Arabidopsis thaliana: one gene and its partners. The protein of the gene in region 3 purifies or fractionates together with the protein of the main gene of each other region. This does not show direct contact. Each region holds a gene or a part of one and is shown on either strand. Other genes may lie near its edges.

Region 1 (6,450 bases), on a different chromosome or scaffold from region 3:
GAATGTTCCAGGGATTCCCGCAACAACTTGGGACTTTGTGAACTCTACCTCCAAAGCTGTTTAGTAAAAAGGTGTTAGACATCAAAGAAAATAAGCACATCTCAACCAGAAGGATAGAACAATAACTGGATAGAGTAAGAAAAGTAAAAACAGATTTGAAAATGAGACAAACACCTAGGATCTTGAATGATCATTACATCAACCAAATAAGTATTCAAAGACTAGCACTAAGCAAACGATAACAAACAAACCCATAACTTATATAATGAGAAAAATGGCTACCAAAGAATACTGAAGGTAATCTTAGTTACGTACACTTGAAATAAGGAAAACGCCAGACGATAAGATTGTCATTCCAAGGATTTGGTAAAAATCTTCTGATGGCTGGTAACAATGTCGCTCTGCAAACACACATAACCGTGTCATGACTTGACCACAGATAAACAAATAAAAAAACAAAAGGCATGATTTAGATAAGACATACGAAAGAGCGACAATCCCAAGAACAAAGAAGTAAGCTGTTAGCACAGCATTAACCAAGTCCTTTGAGAGAAACTTGAACAATAAGAAAAGTGAGAGAAGCATAGCACTCCCAACCAATGGGAAACGCATGGCATGTTCTTTTGACATCGTCTCCTACACCATTTCAAACCAAAGAAACAATTTAGATCGAATTTGGAAAATTGTTTCACTAATAAAAAAAAACAATCTGATTGCGTCTTTGTCTTACCGTTGGAGGAGTATCCTTGACCGAACGAAAGCAACCCACATAAACAGTGATACATGCTGTGAGAATAACATTCAAATTTGGATTTACTCTCACAACGAGTGGTGCCAATGTCAAACCTGTAACCAAAACAAAAACAAAAACCACTCAGTTTTGAATCTTTACACCATAATCAAAAACAATCAATCACACCCATCAAGCCTAAACCCTAGAGAAACCAAACTGATCTAAAACGAACAAAAAAATAAATATTTTCCAGCAAATTCTAAGAACAAACCTAAAACCGAAAAAGTTAACAAATTCGAAGCCTAAATCACAATCAGAAGAAACCCATAACGCGAAACAATCACATGATCGTAAAAATCGATCGAAAATTGAAATTCACGAGACGAATTGTAACAATTGTAAGAGTGAAAGAGAGAAAAACCTGCGAGAGCGAGATTAGCAAATCTCTCACAATTCTTCATAATTGCTTCTTGTGTTTCGTTTTTACTCTATTACTCAGATGAATGTGTATATAGAGAGATCCAGTGGTGGGGTCAAAAGATAAAATTTCCACCAGATCTGTTAAAAAAAAAAAGATGAAGAAGAAGAAGAAGAGAAAGAGAAGAGTTAAGGAAAGAAAATTAAGATACTCGAAGACCACGAAAGTTACGGGACTGTGACCTAATTACGTGACAGACTTATTTCATTGGTAACGCTCACGTGTCTATGACATTACGTTCGCATTTTAATTGGTTGATTATTGCATTCATCACCACATCACACATGCATATCTGTTTTCTTTTATGGTTAGTCAATACAATGGTAACCGATACTTTTCTCCTTCAACGGATAACAAAACTGGAAACATATAAATCAATGTCAAAAATTCGCTAAAGACCTAATAAATAATCAATGTAAAAGTATTATATTGTATAGTTTTTAGTATTTTTTTTCTCTTTTAGTAAGTTTTTACACACAAAAAAACAAAATATTAGTGTGACATCTAAACAAAATTTGACTTATGGAAGTACAGTAAACGGAAAGAAAAGAAGGGAGCCGATTATATGTGACTCTTTCCACTGGTCTTGGTCCATTTGATTAAAATACATGAAAATCAACTATACTTTTAAGTGGATCATACCATTGGAACAATTGGCTGCAAGTTAGACACACTTAGTAGCAAAGACGCGTCCGAGTTCATAACAGTGCTTTGGAACCACTAATGATGAACAAGATTACTCAAATATAGTTAAATACGAATACGAAAAATGAAAGAAACATTGTATTCTTTCATGAAGATGACAAAAACAAAAAAATATATATATCATTCTTTTAAGAACTTCCTGCATTTGTAGATTCTTGAGGCGCAAAACTACTCGAATCCTCTTTTTTCTTGGATTCCAAAAAAACGCCCAAGTATTTTATAAAAAGTATATTCCAGAATCTAAGTGTTTAGAACATAGAAAGATAACCTTTTGACATGGTTTGGTGATCAATAAACTCGGTTTCTTATTGGGGAATTTACGTTCTGCAAAAGAAGAAAATAGACAGACATCATCAAAAATGAATCTCTATGAGTAAATTTGGTTACCAGAATCATATATTTTTTTATGACAATCATACCATTTGACCATAGTCTTCATTCCTAGCAAATTCCTCTGAACCATGAGGATGGTTCTCGCCTTTTCTGTGCCTAGACTTGCTCGAAGTCTATATTGTTTGAGAAATATAAGGAAATAAAGTTGGAAGCAAGACAAGACCACGATCCATGTCAAATACATTGGCTCTTAAACGCAGCATCACTTGTGTAAGAGCTTTGATTGCTGCATCAAGACTTCCTGTTATCTAAAACCACAAGATAAAGAAACATTGTTTAAGGGTCTCTTTCAAACACACAAAATCGACAAGCACTAGGCAATAAAGGGTGGTCATGATTTATTACTTGGACCATCTCCTCATTCTCACGAGCAATTTTTATGAGAGGTCGTTACTGCAGGATTCATCAGAATTCTACCAGGTTGATGTTGCAGTGTACTACTAGAGGAAGACAGAAAGTAGTTCTAAAATCGTGACGGATTATTATAAAGCAGAAAGGCAACTTGGTAAAGAGCTTCTCTAACAGCAGAAGGATCTCCAATTATCTGAAAGTCAACCAACAACAACATTCATAAGCTAAATCCGAAACACAACCACACACACTAACTCAAATCTCGAAGACATTACCTGAAGAAGCTCATCATGACTCAATGCCAAAGCACACATGGGTAGATTATCATTTCTAACACGAATCTGAGCATTAGTGTCATTACGCAGCGTTTGAATAATTGGTCCACCTTTGCCAATAAGATAACCAATTTGATCAGAAGGCACAAGCATCCTCACAGTAACAACTGTTTGTCCCTCACTATACTCATCATTGTCATTATAATCATCATCATCGTCAAATTCTTCAACAACAACCATATCATGAACCTTGAAAAGAGCATCAAAAGCAGGACAGACAAAATCCTCATTGTCATCTTCAATACGATTTCTCTCCTCGCTATTAGAATATATAGTCACAACACGCTCATCACAACCAGGCAATGCCTCGTTTACCCTCATGTTTGCTTTAGTCTCAGACCTAATCTATTTTGCAATCTCACCACCTCTCCCAAGAACTCCCTGCTCTTCTCACAAGACACAAGTAACGATACACAGTATCTTCTAATCCAGCACCATTATTATCTGTATCATCAGAAAAAAACTCTCTTACCTCTTATCAAATATGAAAACTAACTAAAACAAGATCTCTTACCATAATTGTTCCTTGAATGAGCCATTTTAGCAACGATTTAGTGAAACAAGTTCTGAAATCACAAAGCCAGAGGACGCTGAAGAACATACGAAACAGAAAATTAGGGTTTAAGTTAGGTTTCAAATAAGCAACAGAAACAAACATTCATAACACCAAAATCCTTCTTCGTTTCTCTATAGATAGATTATGTAAAGCTCACATCAAGAAACCTAATCAACGAAGATCAATACGAAAATCAATTCTCACGCAACCAACCGATCGATAAATCTTGATAGTACTTGAACATTGCTTAGAAAACGGAAAACTCGAAAACAGTAAACTGTTACCAGAGAATGAAACAACCGATGATCGGTGAATCCGTCCGAAGAAGCGTCGTCTCGCCGGAAAATGCAACGGCCTCTCTCCGTCTTTTTCTTTCTGTGGTTTTTGGAATTTGAAATTGAAAAGAGTAGTGAAAGATGAAGAAAGTCTTTGGGCTCATTAACGTCTATAGGAATCTAAAAGGCCTAGCAAGGGCTTTTCAAATTTTTCTTGCGTCGTGACAACACGTAGCCACATTATAAAATAAAGCGATATTAATGTCAAATTTACTATTTGAATTGATGCTATATGGTATATATATTTGAATTGATGCTATGTGGTATATATATGTTTTCTATTAATGAAGGGAAAATAGCTAAAATCAACTCACACTATTTTCCGACAGTTTTTTATACCCAAACTACGATATTTGAAAAATATCAACCTAAACTCACTAAAAAAATTAAATTTTCAACCTAAACTATATGAAAATAGTCAAAATCAACATATGCCAAAACAGTGTTAATCAATCACTTACGGCGATGAGTCAGCCGACATTGTGGCAATAACGGGGCATCGTAGATGAGTAATTATACGACTTTATTTCGTGAGTTTAGGGTTCTCAAATCAAAGAATCGCTAAAGCAATCGCCAAAGAGTCTTTGATTCGAGAACCCTAAACTCACGAAACGACATTGTTTTACTCAACTTCGATGCGTCGTCATTGCCATGGTATTGGTTGACTCAACGCTTTATGCTGTTAACTAACACCATTTTAGCATATGTGGATTTTGGCTATTTTTATATAGTCTAGCCTGAATTTTTAGTGAGTTTAGGTTGATATTTACTAGGTATTGTAGTTTAGGTATGAAAAAACCGCCAACAAATATTCTAGGTTGATTTTGACCATTTGTAAGGGGATAGTCCGGGTTACACCCGATCTATACTGAACGATAGAATGTTTAAGTTAGTTAACCATAAGCTAATATCAAATGAATTATTACATTTTAAATATGAATAGAAGTAAATTAGATTTTCCAGAAACAAATTACCAGATTCTTGAATTTAAAAGTAGAAATCATATGTTTGTAGTTGTATGTTAAGAAAAAATTATCGATTAATTCCCTAAGAAGATACTAATACTCTTAATAATTTTAAGAGATAAGTTGGAGAGTAGGCACTTTTTGCAAAAGTAATTTGAGGAATGGGTACTTTTTTTAGAAATAGGAAGAATGAGTACTTTTATCTCTTTTCTCTAATAGAACTCCTCTTCTAATACAGTTTTTAGTAAAGTACAATTTTACTCTTCTGTTGTTTTGATGAAATAAATTGGGCCTCACTAAAAGCAGCTCAATAACATCTCCAATTTCGAATTGCTCATGAGCTTGATATCAACTAAAACCCATATTTTCTTTCAATCATTGTATACATTTTAAAATACTAATCTTTTTATTTATTGTAAAGATTTTAATTTTGTTACATTTTGCGGATATGTAATATTATAACATTTTACTATACTAACATTTTCAATTTTAATACATTTTAAAATATTAATTTTGTTATATTTAGCTAAACTAAATTTAATAGTAAAATACTAAGATTTTAATTTTACTATTGCGGGTATGTAACATCTTTAAATCGTCTATCGTACACCTTCAAAAATATTGTACACGAATCTAGAGAACTATTTGGCATACTTGAAAGTCTATGAGATAGTGTACAAACATCAGTGTACGAAATGATGTACACCAATAAATTGAAATAATAGGTTATATATTTAAAAATATTGTACACCGAATCTATAAAATCGAGAATAATTTGGTGTATTTGAAAGTTTTTGAAATAGTGTACAAATCCAGTGTACAAAATGATGTACACCAGTAAATTAAAATAATGGTTTATACATTTCCTATTAGTATACCCTAAATGTTGTACGTTATGTCTACCAATTTCACACGCTGTCATTTAAAATTGTGTACATCATTCTGTCACAAATCTCGTATATCATAATATTGTACACCAACATGTACACCATTAAGTTTAATTATATTAAATCATTTAAAATTGTGTACACCATCCTGTCACCAATATCATGATTTTAATGGTGTACACCATTCCGTATTCCATTAAAAATTGTGTACACCATAGGATTTTCCAAAATTTTGTTTTAATCGACAAAAGTGATATAATGTTAAATTTAACCGTTGGAAGAAATGAACTGAAAAAACAAAAACGATTGGAATTTTTTTTGGGGCCAAATAACATGTTAAATTAATTGGGCTATGAAAATAGTATTTGATCCATTATCTTTAAAAGATTTGGGCCTATTCCAAAAGTTATTTCTCACAACACAAAAGGGTACAATTGTATTTAACACTTATTTTGTTTTTCAGTCATATACCTTCTATCTCACATATTTTCTATCTCACAATAGCAAAAGAAGTATCTATTTCTCTAATATGTAAAAAAAACTACCTACTTCTCAAATAACTTTTGAAAAAGTGTCTAGTTTGCTAATAAACCCTAATTTTAATTGTTTGTTTAGTGAATTAAGCATATGACATGATATATCCTTCTAGTACGCCACTCCTACATACTTAGTTACTTATTTCCTCTGATCATAATCTTATCCATGACTGATA
Region 2 (7,248 bases), on a different chromosome or scaffold from region 3:
CCTAGATACATGTACATTGAATATTAAACGATTAGTTTTTGATTAAGATTCTAAAGAAATTGTTAATGATGTTGTTCCTAGATTCATGTGATTCAGTCTTCCATAATCTAAGTTCTTGGCCATTGTTTAGTTGGCGGTTTCACATTATTATCACGTGCATGCAACTATACAAGTATATCAGAGTTTGAGAGGACTTGTGTATAATTACGAAAGAGTAGGTAGCATTTGAAGTTAGTTTTGCAAATCTGTGATTACAAAATATTTATAATCTGTTTGGTTCACCTCTGATGAGTGGGAGAATTATGTCTAGAGAAACGATTGCATTGGTAAATAAACAAGGTCTTTCCATTTTTTTCGTACCTAACAGAAGAAAAAGTCTCTCTTCAACATAATAACAAGATTTTTGTTACTAATGTTTTTGACGTGGAAAGTTGCGTGCAGGTGAGTTGTAGTAGTCTTTTGATCATGATATTGTAGTCACACCTAATAAAGATGAAATGGTGTGTTTTCTAATGGCTGCTTTAATAATTCATCTAAACCTGTCATTCTTAAATTAATTGCAATAGTAAGAGCCGTAACAATGACATTTCTCGCAAGTCTTTTTCACGACTTTGTTATGAGTGTTCCGTTTATAGTTTTGTAAGGAAAGTTCGAACAAATATTGGGACCTGAGGGATTCTCTTACACGTTTATTTTCTGTTGTTTTCTAATAACTTAAAGAAATTAGAACAGAACGAACGTTCCTCGTCATGAGACAATAATTATGGGTCCATGGTTCACATTATACAAATTACAAACTTTAAAGACTGCAATTTATAGGGGAAACCTGAATCTTACATGCATTTTCATGTTTTAAGACTAGACTGGTACAAGTTATGGCCGGTTCAGATGTGGATACTGGTACCGATGACTATTTCTCTTTATTTAATCAAAGTGTTACTAGTTTCATGTTTTGAGACTGGTTCATGTAGCTTTTCTTCAAATAATTTTCACAAGATATTCTAATAACTTTAGGTGGACATAAAGAAAATTCAAAATAAGAAAGAGTAATAAGATCTAGATGTTTGAAGAAACTGCCCAAAACGTTTCTTAAGGATATAGCGTATTCGGATATGCTACCCATTTTGGATTAATCAGATACGATACTCATTTTTTTCAACAATGGATTTAAATTTGGTCTAAAAATAATTAATCCGATGGCGCAATATTAAATAGCGGTCCATTTTGTTTTTATTATTATTTGGCTTATTATTTCGTAATTCGTACCACATTTTCTTCTTTAAGGTCGTTTTTTCTAACTTCTGAAAACTTCGTTGCTAAGAAGTCTTCGTATGTCGTAACGCGTCTTCTCCTCTTTCCTCTCTTATAACACTTCCAATTCAAAGGAAGACAACATAAACTCTTATTCTCTACCTGTCCTCTCTTCTCTGCAACTCGGCCATGGGGAAGAAGCTTGACGCTTTGCTTGGTCGCAGTTTCAAGACCAACAAGTTCAAGTCTCTTATCACCTTAGCTCTCACAAGGCTCTCTATTCTCAAGAACCAGCGTCAAGCCAGACTCTCTCAAGCCATCTCTGATGTCACCGAGCTTCTTAAGCTCGGCCAACATGAGCACGCTTACCATAGAGTCGATCAAGTCGTCAAAGACCAAAACACTCTCGACGTTCTCTTCTTCATCCATGGCTACTTCACTCTCTGTCTCGATCGTATTCACCTCTTTGAACACAACAGAGATTGTCCTGAAGAGCTTCTAGAAGCTGTTTCGGGTTTGCTATTTGCAGCTTCTAGAATCGGTGAATTCCCTGAGCTTCAAGAGATTCGTAATGTTTTGATTTCGCGTTTTGGCAAAGATCTCGCGGCTCGGTCTATTGAGTTGCGCAGTAATTGTGGGGTTGATCCCAAAGTAAGCAAGTTCTCGATTCAACAAATACTATATTCAATACGTTATGTTATATATCTCTCTTGATAGAACAAAATACTTACTGAGTTCCATGTTTCTTTTGGTGTTACTATAGATAATTCAGAAGTTGTCGACAAGACCTCCACCGAAAGAAGTTAGAATGAAGGCTTTGAAGGAGATTGCTGCAGAGAATAACATTGTTCTGAAACTAGACCAAGCTTCTACGTCCACTGAGGTATAGAAATCTGCAATTAACCACCAAGATAACAAAAAGTTGAAAAAATCATGTTCTAATCAAATTTGTAACATTTGCAGGGAACAACAAATATGCAGGGAACATCAGATGTTAGTAAGACTAAGCTAACAAGTAAAGATGGCAGAGGAGAAGGTTATGGTTTATCTGATTCGGTCAAGAGAGGAAAGAAGAAGTACAAAGATGTGGCTGATGCTGCACAAGCAGCGTTTGAGTCAGCAGCTCATGCAGCAGAGGCTGCACAAGCGGCTGTGGAGCTTTCTCAGTTTTCTCCTCGTGGACATGACAGTCCGGGTAACATTGGTGGGGAAAATTCATTTCATGGTTCTGAAAACAAAGAGTCAGAACAAGAACAAGAAGGTAATGATGATTCTTCAGAAGGGGAAGGGGATGTGATGTCAGAATCTAAAAGGTCGATGTCAGATTCAGAAGATATTATTGATGTCCCAGTGATGTCATTCAGAGAAGACCCTGTGAAGCTATTGGAGAAGGATACTATTATCTACGATAGTGAAGAAGAAACCCAACCTAGTGTTGAGACTATTACTATTAGTAAGTCTAAAGATGAGCAAAATCGTATGGTTGGTTCGAATAGAGCGGATACAAGACATGTGGACCACATGGTTCGTTCAATTGAAGATCCTATTATGCGTAAAGCAGGTTTGAAGGGTCCAGTTTCAGTCAGGACAAGACAGGTTCGTGGATACTAAGTACAAATGTTATAAGTTTTTCAGGTGCATCTACGGTGTAATCACTCAGTTTTGTACTTTTCTATGTTCTTTTTGTGGTCAAAGATGTAAGATTATTGTGTTCTTTATGGATATAAGCTTTCAATGATGTTGTACAGTTGCATATGTGTGTGTTTATACAAGAAACGTTTCTAGAAAACTTTGAATCAAATTCGAAGAACTTACCTGAAAATTACTGTCCTCGAGGCCTCTTTTTACCATGTTGAATTAGGTCAGCATATGCCTGGAAACTTAGACCGACATCTTCATCGTATTCAATTCCAAGCTCCTCCTGCAAAGTAACAGTAGTCAAAAATTATGGCGAAGCTGATGTAGTCTGTAAGAAAAAACTCCTGAAGAAATATGAGTTTGCACCTTTAGTTCCTTCACATCTTTGGGAGAATTCTCTGTTACAGTATCCCAAATGTCTCTGAACATCCTCTTACGCTTGCGCCACTGATTAATCTTATCCGCATACATATCTTCAACAGCCTTTTTGTCTTCTGGCCTCACCAATGTAATCCCTTCACGTAGTTTGACCAGTTTCTCTTCCATTTCCTTAACCTGGTACACAGTTGAAATCACTTTATAAGCTATCAACAACCTTACTCAAAGAAAGACAAAAACCAAAAGGTAAGAAAAACATATACCTCTTTCCTTAGTTTGGCATCTTTCTCTTGTATCTCTTCTAGTGTCAAGTTTGACTGCAAACTCTTGATTTCTGCAAATAACATCACAGAACATAACATTATCCAAGCAGCTATATCACATCCTCAAAACCACTGAGAAAAAGTAGTTTTTTCACACCTGATTCCACATCACTGATAGTTTTCTTCTTCTCTTGAAGCTGTTCTTGAAGTTTGGCATTGTCTTCTTTCATTTGAGCAAGTTCTTCAGAGTTTGGAATCTCAAACTGGTCTTGTCTAGCAATGTATATCTTCTGCTTACCATACTCTTTAAACGTGATTTTTCCAGCATCAGCAAGACTATCAAGTGCCTTTTGCACCGCAGTCTTCTTAAGGTTAAACTTTTGTAGAGCATCAGCTGCATTTTGAGTGTTTAGAGGTTTGTTTTGCTGCATCAAAAAAGTACCAACAACACATTCATCAAAATCTAACAACAATAATACAACAGATTGAAACAAAACTTGCAATATATATATATATATATATATATATATATATATAACCTGTATCAATCAATTTTTAAAACCTAGTCAATATCAATAGCTTCAAACGAAAAATTCATGTGTAAACTTATAGCACAAATTGAAACCCAAGTGATTAAATTCCCAGATTCAGAATCATGTGAACATCACTGCGTACCTTAACCTAGACTCAATTTCAAATTCGAATTCTAATTTTTATGGTCGTATCTGTTTGTGATCTCCGTTTAGAATTAAAGCAAAAATGTAGAATCGCAGAGAAGTGCTTACCTCATTGACAAAGTTGAGTACGATAGCTGCAGAAATAAAAAATTCAGGAAACAAGTAAATAAGAGAGAAATCAAAATGAGGAATAAGATCAAAGAGAACTAGCAGATTTTTTTCAGAGATTATATCATTATACCTTCGGTGTTATCCGATTTAGGAGCCATTTTTGTCGAAATAATTGGCGGGAAATAAAAAACCTGAAGCGAGAGCAACTTTTTTCCTTTTCCGATATTTTCTGAGGAAGAAGAAGAGAGTTACTGAGAAGCTTCCTTTATACGAGAGAGATATTAAACGAAGTCGTATTTGTTGGATATATGGGCCTTTATGTATTATACATAAGCCCATTTAGTTCTTATCTTTGACAGGCCCAATTATATGGACACAGCTTGAAGATGGTTTAGCTGCTGCGAAAGACGAGCTCCGGTCTCATTTCTCGTTCTTCTGATTGATAGATCGCTCGGAACTTGGAAAGCAGCGTAATCGGTAAATTCTCGATCATTTCTTCAATTTCGAAACATTTTCCAATTGTATATTGAGAATCTCAAATCGAATTATTGTTTAGATCTTCTCTCTTTATTAGTCTAAGAATGGTAATAGTTTCTCTCTAGATTGGGACGGCACAAAGTTTCAGTTCTCCATTCTAATCATTTTTTAGAGGCTAATGGGTCACCTTTGAATTATCTCAGAGGCGGAATTGAGTTTAAAGTTTGTAACTTTATCGTCTTTTGTATTGATGGTGTCTATGTATGCATTGTGTTTTATTCTGACTTTGTGTACATTTGTGTTTGATTGAAGGTAGGGAGTGATTTGAGTTTTGGTGAGGATGTCTATGGTTGATGAGCCTTTATACCCGATTGCTGTGCTTATCGACGAGCTAAAAAACGATGATATTCAGCGTAGATTGAACTCTATTAAACGGCTTTCTATCATTGCTCGTGCTCTTGGAGAGGAGAGGACAAGAAAAGAGTTGATTCCATTTCTTAGTGAGAACAATGACGATGACGATGAGGTGCTTTTGGCTATGGCGGAAGAGTTGGGGGGTTTTATTCTGTATGTAGGAGGGGTTGAGTATGCATATGTTCTGCTTCCACCTTTGGAGACTCTATCCACTGTTGAGGAAACTTGCGTGAGGGAGAAAGCTGTGGATTCACTTTGTAGAATTGGTGCTCAGATGAGGGAGAGTGACTTGGTTGAGCATTTCACTCCTCTGGCTAAGGTTAGATAAGGCTGGTTTACTTATTTTATCAAATCTCTTTGGTCGATTTTATTGATTCCTTTCCATGCTCTGTCAAACTTAATATTATTAAGCCACTAAAACAGAAGAACATAGATTTTTTGGGGTCCTTTGTCAATTGTCCCCCAAAGTTTGGAAATATGCTTTTCTTGTTCAGTGTTCCCCTTATAGGTGTTTTGGGAAATTGGTAGGTTGAAGTTGTTTACATCCATTTTGGTTGATCTAAGAGAACATCGCTCTGGCTTTAGCGCTCTTTTGGGTTGTGGTTGTGTATGTGACCATACATACCTCGGTATAGGTGCTCGTAATGTGAAACCGACTTAAGCATTACTGAACACTGTCATTGTGTAACAGCGACTTTCAGCTGGTGAATGGTTCACAGCCAGAGTATCAGCATGTGGGATTTTCCATATTGCATACCCAAGTGCCCCAGATGTGCTAAAGACGGAGCTAAGATCAATATATGGTCAGCTTTGTCAAGATGACATGCCAATGGTGCGCAGAGCTGCAGCAACTAATTTGGGGAAGTTTGCTGCTACAATTGAATCAGCTCATTTGAAGACAGACATTATGTCCATGTTTGAGGATCTTACGCAAGATGGTATGCTCTCCCTTATTATATGTTTCGTTTTTCCAGCATATACTCTTACAATTTTCATCAAGCCTAGTTATGGGGGTGGCTGATGTGTAATAGGCAAGTATTAGGGTTACTGCATTGAACACTGACCATTAGCTGAAGTTAAGCAGAATTACGGTTGTCTACATCTCAGCTTCAGTGTCTTTTTATATTATAATATTACAGATTTTAAGTATCTTATTGACATTGATATCAGATCAAGATTCGGTTAGATTATTGGCTGTTGAGGGTTGTGCTGCTCTTGGGAAATTGTTGGAGCCCCAGGACTGTGTTGCACACATTCTTCCTGTGATTGTCAATTTCTCGCAGGTAAATAAATGTGTGAATATGATAAAAAAATTCTATTGATGAGCTTTATGGGAAAGCTGTAAGGCAGATATGTATGAGCTGCTTTATCTTGATTTTTTTCGTCTTTGAGCAGGATAAGTCCTGGCGTGTGCGTTATATGGTTGCAAATCAGCTCTATGAACTTTGTGAAGCTGTAGGACCGGAGCCAACTAGGTAAGCAGTGATGGTTGAAGTTAGTTATGGTTTAATGTAGTATTGACCTTTAGTATGCAATTCTATATCAAACAATAGATTACTGACTTCAGAGGTATTTGGTACTTGGAAGTCCATGTTTGTTGAGTCATCTTAATAAATTTCTTTGAGTCGTTTTTTATACTTTCTCATGTGCCTTATGTATTAAGGACGGATCTGGTGCCTGCATATGCTCGTCTACTTTGTGATAATGAGGCAGAAGTTCGGATAGCAGCTGCTGGAAAAGTTACCAAGTTTTGTCGCATTTTAAACCCTGAACTCGCTATCCAGCACATTCTTCCCTGTGTAAAGGTACACACTTAAGAAGAGTGTGTTGATTTCATATTATGCAAAGGACCAAAATACTGTCGGTGTTTGCTAAGCTTACCTATAAATCTACACGTAGGAATTATCATCAGACTCTTCTCAGCACGTCAGATCTGCATTGGCATCAGTTATAATGGGAATGGCTCCAGTCTTGGGTAAGGTAAGCAGAATTAAAAACCGATACAATTTGCCTCTCATATCATGAATACTGTCATCTAT
Region 3 (7,090 bases):
TCTTTCCCGAAGGCAGAAGTGGTCCTGAATATGCTCCTGAATACACTAGGAAATTAAACACTCGTTTTCTTTCAGCATTAATTCTACCTTATTAAATTTAAATCTAAGTAAAAGACACTCTGTACTTACTTATTTTGCTTTCCCTTCGCATGATGCATATGATAGCCAAGGCGGCAATGAGAATAATCACTAATGTGGATACAACTATTGGCACCATGATTCTGTTCCCGTCCCGACATGAACGTGAGTGACAAATGTTTTGTTCATCGACACTGGAGACAAAGAGGAAATCAATAAGCTTTTGAAAATGGTAGAGACGCGGCAAAATGACTATGGTTCCGTGTACCTGAGTGCAAGTCCATTAGCCGTTGCTCTTTTCCTAAGAGATCTTGGGATAAACCCAGTCAAGTTATTTCCTTTCAAATTCCTGCGACACAAATTAATGTCAGAGACAAAATACTATTTTGATTGTCTATCAATACAAACTCAACGAGGTTCTCTATGTGCTCAACTCACAGGGACTTCAGATATTTTAGATCAGCCAAAAATTCCGGCACAATTCCTTTGAGGTTGTTGTTTGATAAATCCCTGGGAAAACAATGCACACCACTATTATAGTTACTGTGAATAAAGTGGTGGCAAGTTTCAATGTGTTTGTATACTTACAATGACTCAAGAAGGGAGAGATTTCTAAATGCGAACGCTATTGGTCCATGTAATCCACTTGAACTAAGATTTCTTCTCGCAGCAAAATACAGAAACAAGCTCATCAGCAAAACTTAAGTTTGAGGGAAATTACACAATGAGTTTTTTCAGGTTGAAATGAATGAATGACTTACAGGGACTTGATTTGATAACTAGAAGTGTTGTAGCTGCATCCAATACCTTCCCAAGGGAAGAGTCTGGGAGAGCAAGGATCACCAGTCCAAATCTTATTCACTTTATACGTTGATTTTATGCTTTCTATGGCTTGAACTGCATTACCAATAGAAAATGGAAAACTGTGAGTGTCAGTGAAAATTAAAGACCAGAACAAAATATACGTAGACGACTAACAAAGTAGAGATGAACACACCATCGTCAATTCTGGTGTAAAATTCATCCAGAGATTGTGCTGAAAAAATCTCAATAGCATTGAGTATTGGTGGACGCGTTGACTCTGCGGTCTTCTGAACAGAAATCCAGTGATCTTTACCAGTGAAAGCTCGTGAGTTAGACACTGTCATTGAATACTCAGGAGAGGGGTTAAAAGCTCCTGAAACAGGCGACCCATTCCAGAATATCTTGATTTCTCTGCTCTCATTCCTCTTGAGATTTTCAAGTTCTGCAAAATAAAGGTACGCATAAAACCGAGTATCTGGATCGCTTGATGTCCAAGACAGTTCCAATGGTTCATCGTCACTTTTAGGCGAAGCAGCTGTCTTAATAACTTCATCTGGTGGCCTATAACCAGACTGAAAAATATCGATATACCCAGTAGTCATAGTTGTATTCCAAGACACTGGAGAGTACGGAGACCAAATACGATCATATGTATCCTTTTGGTACCGTCCTGTTCCATTCAAATATCCTGTATCCCATCTTTGATAGAGTACCAATGAGACATTTCTTCCAAACTCAGTTCCATAGATGGAGCTGTTCATTGGTCGAAGCTCCAACGCTGAAATAAAAGGAGTTCCTTTACCTTTGTTCACAAGGCAAACATATATTGTATCTGACTCTGCAAAGCTGAGGATCTCCTTGATGACGTTCTCAGAAGCATTTCTGAGTTTCACCGAGGTCCAGAAATTCACGTTTACGTAGAGATCAAACTCAGGTAAAGCATTTTTACCATCGTAGTTTCCATACATAAACGAAGCTCTGATGAGATAAAGATTCCCTTTTCCATCGGAGGGGGTTAAGGTGTAACAGTTCCTGTTTCCTTGAGGAAAAGATCTTACATCAGCAAGCGGGAAAGGCAAAACCGGGTTTTTCGGGTAACCGTATTCTTCAGAGACGTTCAGATTTACTCCAGCGTTGATGAAAGGTGCATCCCAGGTGTAACTGATACCAGTATCAGTGTCTACATAGTTAATATTAGGGGGTGACCCACAATCTATGCTGATGAAACCTGGACCAGAAGAAGGTAAGGGTTTTGATTAATTCTACAACGTTGAGAAAATTTTCATCAAAATTCCAATGCAGGTTTAAATTTTAGAACCTAAAGCATTCAATCATAGAAACAGACTTGGACCTCACTTATCATGTCAAACCAATAATCAGAACACGGTTTTGGCCAAAATGCAACCACATATATCAAAACTTCAAAAATCTTTGGTCTGAAGATTGCTCATTTTCAAATCAAAACAGACTCTAACAGAGGAAAATAAGCGAGAATGAGACTCACGAACCTGCTTGGCCTTGGCCATGTACTACAATGGCAATGGCAATGACGGAAAAAAGGATGAGAAAAACAGAGTGAGCTCCCATGTTCTTCTTATTTTGTAAAGCTCAGCTCATCATCGTCAGAAAAACAGACAACCTGCGTTTAAGATAACACAAAAACACAAAAGACTAGAAAGTACAAAGTCTATGCCCATTTCCTCTTCTGGTAGCAACAAAATTGACCTGGAGGTGTATAACATAAGTGCTGCTCACGACTGAAAAAAGCGGCCAAGAAAGAATATAAAATGGTAATACAGCTATCAAGAAGTAACCAGTGGGTCAACAACTAACGCATGATATATATATAACTCCAATAAAATATTATAACAAAACATAGCCAAGCTTGGACATAGCCGACAGATACAAAGAAAATAAAAATCTTTTCTGACCACAGAATTTGTAACCGAGTTTTGACATTAGATGATTGGGTCACATAGAGAATTACAGACTGTTGCAACCTTTAAAACCAGAAAACTTAAAAGGATAGTGAAAAGATTTTTTACTTAAGCTATTGTTTCTTTAACTGTTATGCTGGAGAGTATTAGAACTAAGCTTCATCTTGTACTAGCTGCTTTGCGGTATCAGCTTCATGGGATGAGCTCAAAGGGAATGATGATAACTCTATGTAATCAAAGTCCTCAGTGATTCCCGCCTGAAAGTTACCCAGCTGATTTAGTCTCTCCTTCATGTATGAGAATGTGAAATGTGGAATTTATAGCCTTTTGAAGTGAAAAGATCTGGAAGATACCTCCGTGTATAGATGTTCTAGCTGTTCCTTGGCCTGGGGGAAGTTGTTTGAACACCATTGTCGCAGTGTGAAGATGTTATCTGAGTAAGTTTGAAAGAATTATAATCTAGGCTGCAGTGAAAATTACGTAAGTATTAAAACTGAAAACACATTCCCAAGTTTTAGAAATGAAATACCTGTCCATCTGTTAGCCGACTGGTGAGCAACTTCAATTGCATTCCCTGTCAAAATTAGAAGGAATATACACATTGATACAGCTAGTAAAGCACAAGATTGATTCTTATTTCTGCTCCACGAAGACCGGGAAAACCATATAGGAGATCTAACACAAAACAAAAGTAACGTATTATGCAGAACTTAACTCTTTGCCTCCAAAGTAGCTGGATCGTTGTCAGCAAATTGTACCATCTCGTTCTGTTTAAGAAGAAGAAACTGTTAGCAACTTGTTAAGCATGTGAATAGCTCTATGCAAACAGATAGTCTGTATAATCTGACCTTCAGATCTTTGTGTTTCTTTTCAATATCTTTGAGTTGCGTCAAGGCCTCTGTTCGTTCCTCCTGCAGCAAGAACAGCAATTCTGGTGAAAAGCACACGTAAGCTTATTCGAGCATTAATTCTACAATACTGAAAATACTTACCGATTCTTCCCTTCCCTTCTTTAGGGCCTCACACTGATCAACAAGTTCTGCTAACCTTTTGTTACTACCCTGAAGATCAGATTCAAGTTTCTGGCGAACACTCCTAAGCTGTTCATTCAAAATGAGATCAGAAACAATGAATTTCGCTATGCTCAAATTAATATGAATCTTTTTGATGTCATCTCAGGATACAGAACGGTGACTCACTTGATTGCCAGCACAGCTGGGAAGGCTCCAAAAGTAGATCTTCATTTGCAAAATAATGAACACCGTCAAACAACATATAACAGAGACAAGGACTATATGGCAACAAATGAAATAAAAAGATCCAACATAGGAACACTAAGCTACTCACAGAAATTCCAATCTTGTCTTTCGCAACAAGATCATCATCGACTAAACTCTGGATAACATCTTTCACAGACTGACTAATTACACCCTTCTTCGGCCCCATCTTCTCAAGTTCCTTTAGCTGAAATTTTTTTACAAAAGTAGAGACCCATAAGTGCTTGTATCACAAACCCAAAAGTTCAATAGCAACAAATTTAGGCAGTATATGCACTTCACGACTCTAGATATCAGATCACTTGGTAGATAAAGCTAGTTCAAAGGCGTCCAAAAATTAGCAAGTTGTAAAAACTAAAGAAAGTGCTCACTAGGAAGAAGTCTTGAGACTCATAGAATATCTGAAGCATCTTCTCTCGTTTCTCCTCCAGCGAAAGTCCCCGTTTCTTAGACTGAATATCATCAACAATAGAAAGCAGCGATTCAGTTGATACGAGAATGACGAAAAAAAACTTCAGAGCTTCAATGACGAAATCCAACAAATGATCTGTCAACAAATAGTTTCCAGATCGAAAATGTCAAAAATATATACAGTCAACTCAGCGACTACACTGATTGCGAGAATTGGCTGCTAGATAAATGCTAATTCGAGAACCTATCGATTCGCGTCATGCAGTCCAAGTGTTTGCGGAAATTCCTCACACAAATTTGTAATGAACTACGGAAGATAGAAACATTACTACCGATGAACGATAAGTTTAAACAAATTTCTTCGAAGAGTAAGAGAAACACATAACGATGACTACTAAACATTCAAACAAATAGGTCGAATCAATACATCCAAAATTCTCTTGTAAGTCGAAGAATCACAAGCTAAGATCATCAGTGTAAGATAATCACGATTCATAGAATCATAGAGAATAATCACTCGATCTTCCCAGGAAAATGCACAAATCACAGAGGTTCATTAGCGAAACAAAATCACAAGTAGAGAACATTCGTCCAGAGTATATTACCATCGTGATCTCTTGCTCCTGGTGATGCAATCCAAAGGATTTCAAACACTGCTACAGCTCTCTCTCACTCTCTTCCCTCACTATCGTCTCCTCTCTTTATCAAATTCGAAATGAGAGAATTGTAGAAGAAGCCTTGAAAACTTAAGCGGGTTATTATCCCTCGCTTTCTGTTTCATTTTTTATTCCAATTAATTTGAATTTAACCTTAAAACGACACGGAGTCCAATTTTATGGTACCAAAACGGCATGATGTTTGTTAAAGCAGCGAAGTCAACGTATATGGTTGACTATTCATGAGTAGTCTTATCAGGCGAAAGTGATGAACATAGGAGTAAAGTGATTATTAACCAAAGGAAAAAGTGTCATAAAAAGATACAAAAATTACAAAAGATAAATTATGTGAAGAACACTCAAATTGCAGATAACATTAACGACGGGGATTATAAAAGTTTTTCGCTCCGAATTAATCTGATTCAGATCCTTATATACATCGTCTGTTCGTGTCTATCAATGCATACATGTCTCTGCTCGGAGAGGTGAATAACCTGCAGTTAAACCAAGCCAATTGCAAAACTAGTTAAATTACAAATCCATAGTCTGTAAGCAAATTGATTGATTTTGCTTTGATTATAGATAGAAGAGACCTTAGAGGGCCATCTCAGCCTGTAATGCAGCGAGTTCTTCTTCCTCAGCAGTCCGCTTCTGGGGAACAGGACGAGCCGGTTGACGCCCTGCAGGCACTGGAACTGAAGGCAATGGAGGAGCTGTTGTTGCCGGCTGTAGAAGTTGCGATTCAAGCTCTTCACTTTCTAGTTCATCAAGCTCTGCTGCAAGCTCATCCTATCAAAGAGAAGTTTTTCTTAGACAAAAGTCATTATTAGTTGAAAAATATATGATCATTTGGGTACAAGAAAGTTACCTCGTCGAAGTCAGCCGCTGCCCCCATTGGAGTCGCCAATGCTTCTTGGATCTGTTTCATGTTCTCGGTTTGCTCATTGATCTCGTCCATGGTCTTATCCACATCATCAATATTTCTGCAAAATATTGTGTTTTGAGTTAGTCAGGCACTAGAAATGTTAAAGCATTCAAGCACAAGAAAAGCATAAGTATTTTGAATACCAAGCTCGTATTAACGATTCCCAGAACTGATGACGGTTAAAATGGTAGTAAAGAGTAATATGGTGAAAATGTGATGAACACTTACGTTGCTTTCTGCATTGCCTTCATTGCAGAAGCTCCACTCCTCAATGCATCAACAGTTTCGGTTGTTGCTTTTGCACCTTCTAACATAATCATCTGTATGACAAAAAGATATAAGATCCCAATAAATTCATCTAATTACTGCTATATAGTTTATAGTTAACAATCTTAAAACAAACTCACTTGATCATGAATACGGAGCTGGAAATTCCCAAGCTGTTCGACTTGTCCCTCATATAACCTCTTCCTTTTCAAACACTGTATAGCCGCTGCAAAAACCCAATACAGCTTTTAAGTACTCCAGTGATTAGCAACACACATGAGTCATAATAAATAAGAGGTCATACCTCGTTTGTTCTTAGCCCGGGAGTATTCTTTTGCCTTCTCAACCTCTGCACCAGCTTTCTTCAAGAGTACTTTCTCCTTTTTCTCTAGCATCTCAAGCGTCTGCAATGAACAAATCAACAAAATTTGAATATGGTTTAAAAGCAAACGATCATATAAATTGTACTCAGAAATCCCCAATTCAATCGTTTTTGAGTATTAAATATAAACGAGAATCGGATTTGAAGTGATGTCTTATGGTGATTTAAGTTTAAGATTAAACAAACAGTACAGAGATCAGTACACAGAGAGATCGATATTTCTTTCAGATCGAACGTAAATTGAGAGAGAGAAGTAGATAAGTAGATGATACCTCGTTAAGCTTGTCTAAAGTTTGGAGAGCATTAGCCTCCTGCTTGGGTTTCCCGAATAGCCGATTCATCATGATTTTGCT

Evidence for each region. The genes of interacting proteins can lie anywhere in the genome.
Region 1: the proteins of ATMND1 (region 3) and AT2G03110 fractionate together in Arabidopsis thaliana (co-fractionation; one large-scale study listed by BioGRID). This does not show direct contact.
Region 2: the proteins of ATMND1 (region 3) and AHP2 fractionate together in Arabidopsis thaliana (co-fractionation; one large-scale study listed by BioGRID). This does not show direct contact.

Annotation. Positions count from the first base shown.
Region 1 is NC_003071.7:932,298-938,747, reverse strand, and holds AT2G03110 (putative RNA-binding protein), read right to left. Parts: upstream 3,952-6,450; 5' UTR 3,836-3,951; intron 3,586-3,835; 5' UTR 3,510-3,585; exon of another isoform or gene 3,440-3,509; 5' UTR 3,317-3,439; coding exon 2,936-3,316; intron 2,854-2,935; coding exon 2,773-2,853; 3' UTR 2,655-2,772; intron 2,558-2,654; 3' UTR 2,336-2,557; intron 2,241-2,335; 3' UTR 1,886-2,240; downstream 1-1,885. Other genes in the region: SPP (signal peptide peptidase), read right to left, coding at 1-56, 316-401, 485-636, 731-846, 1,155-1,194.
Region 2 is NC_003070.9:4,565,236-4,572,483, reverse strand, and holds AHP2 (Tat-binding protein 1(Tbp-1)-interacting protein (TBPIP)), read right to left. Parts: upstream 4,550-7,248; 5' UTR 4,477-4,549; coding exon 4,449-4,476; intron 4,342-4,448; coding exon 4,316-4,341; intron 3,956-4,315; coding exon 3,688-3,955; intron 3,602-3,687; coding exon 3,531-3,601; intron 3,445-3,530; coding exon 3,256-3,444; intron 3,173-3,255; coding exon 3,074-3,172; 3' UTR 3,067-3,073; intron 3,037-3,066; exon of another isoform or gene 2,863-3,036; coding exon of another isoform or gene 2,215-2,862; intron 2,145-2,214; 3' UTR 2,135-2,144; coding exon of another isoform or gene 2,015-2,134; 3' UTR 1,903-2,014; downstream 1-1,902. Other genes in the region: AT1G13340 (Regulator of Vps4 activity in the MVB pathway protein), read left to right, coding at 1,441-1,902, 2,015-2,134, 2,215-2,862; PP2AA3 (protein phosphatase 2A subunit A3), read left to right, coding at 5,136-5,528, 5,901-6,147, 6,380-6,492, 6,605-6,684, 6,873-7,014, 7,109-7,189. UniProt on the Arabidopsis thaliana protein: Involved in bivalent formation and segregation of homologous chromosomes in meiosis.
Region 3 is NC_003075.7:14,381,010-14,388,099, reverse strand, and holds ATMND1 (Mnd1 family protein), read right to left. Parts: upstream 5,265-7,090; 5' UTR 5,116-5,264; coding exon 5,113-5,115; intron 4,644-5,112; exon of another isoform or gene 4,549-4,643; coding exon 4,468-4,548; intron 4,284-4,467; coding exon 4,167-4,283; intron 4,058-4,166; coding exon 4,019-4,057; intron 3,920-4,018; coding exon 3,812-3,919; intron 3,731-3,811; coding exon 3,668-3,730; intron 3,587-3,667; coding exon 3,535-3,586; coding exon of another isoform or gene 3,530-3,534; exon of another isoform or gene 3,394-3,529; coding exon 3,349-3,393; intron 3,253-3,348; coding exon 3,173-3,252; intron 3,077-3,172; coding exon 2,972-3,076; 3' UTR 2,635-2,971; downstream 1-2,634. Other genes in the region: RHS16 (root hair specific 16), read right to left, coding at 1-45, 130-272, 347-427, 517-588, 667-738, 840-975, 1,076-2,110, 2,391-2,469; SNF7.1 (SNF7 family protein), read right to left, coding at 5,758-5,952, 6,032-6,146, 6,317-6,408, 6,496-6,581, 6,660-6,759, 7,010-7,081. UniProt on the Arabidopsis thaliana protein: Required for proper homologous chromosome pairing and efficient cross-over and intragenic recombination during meiosis.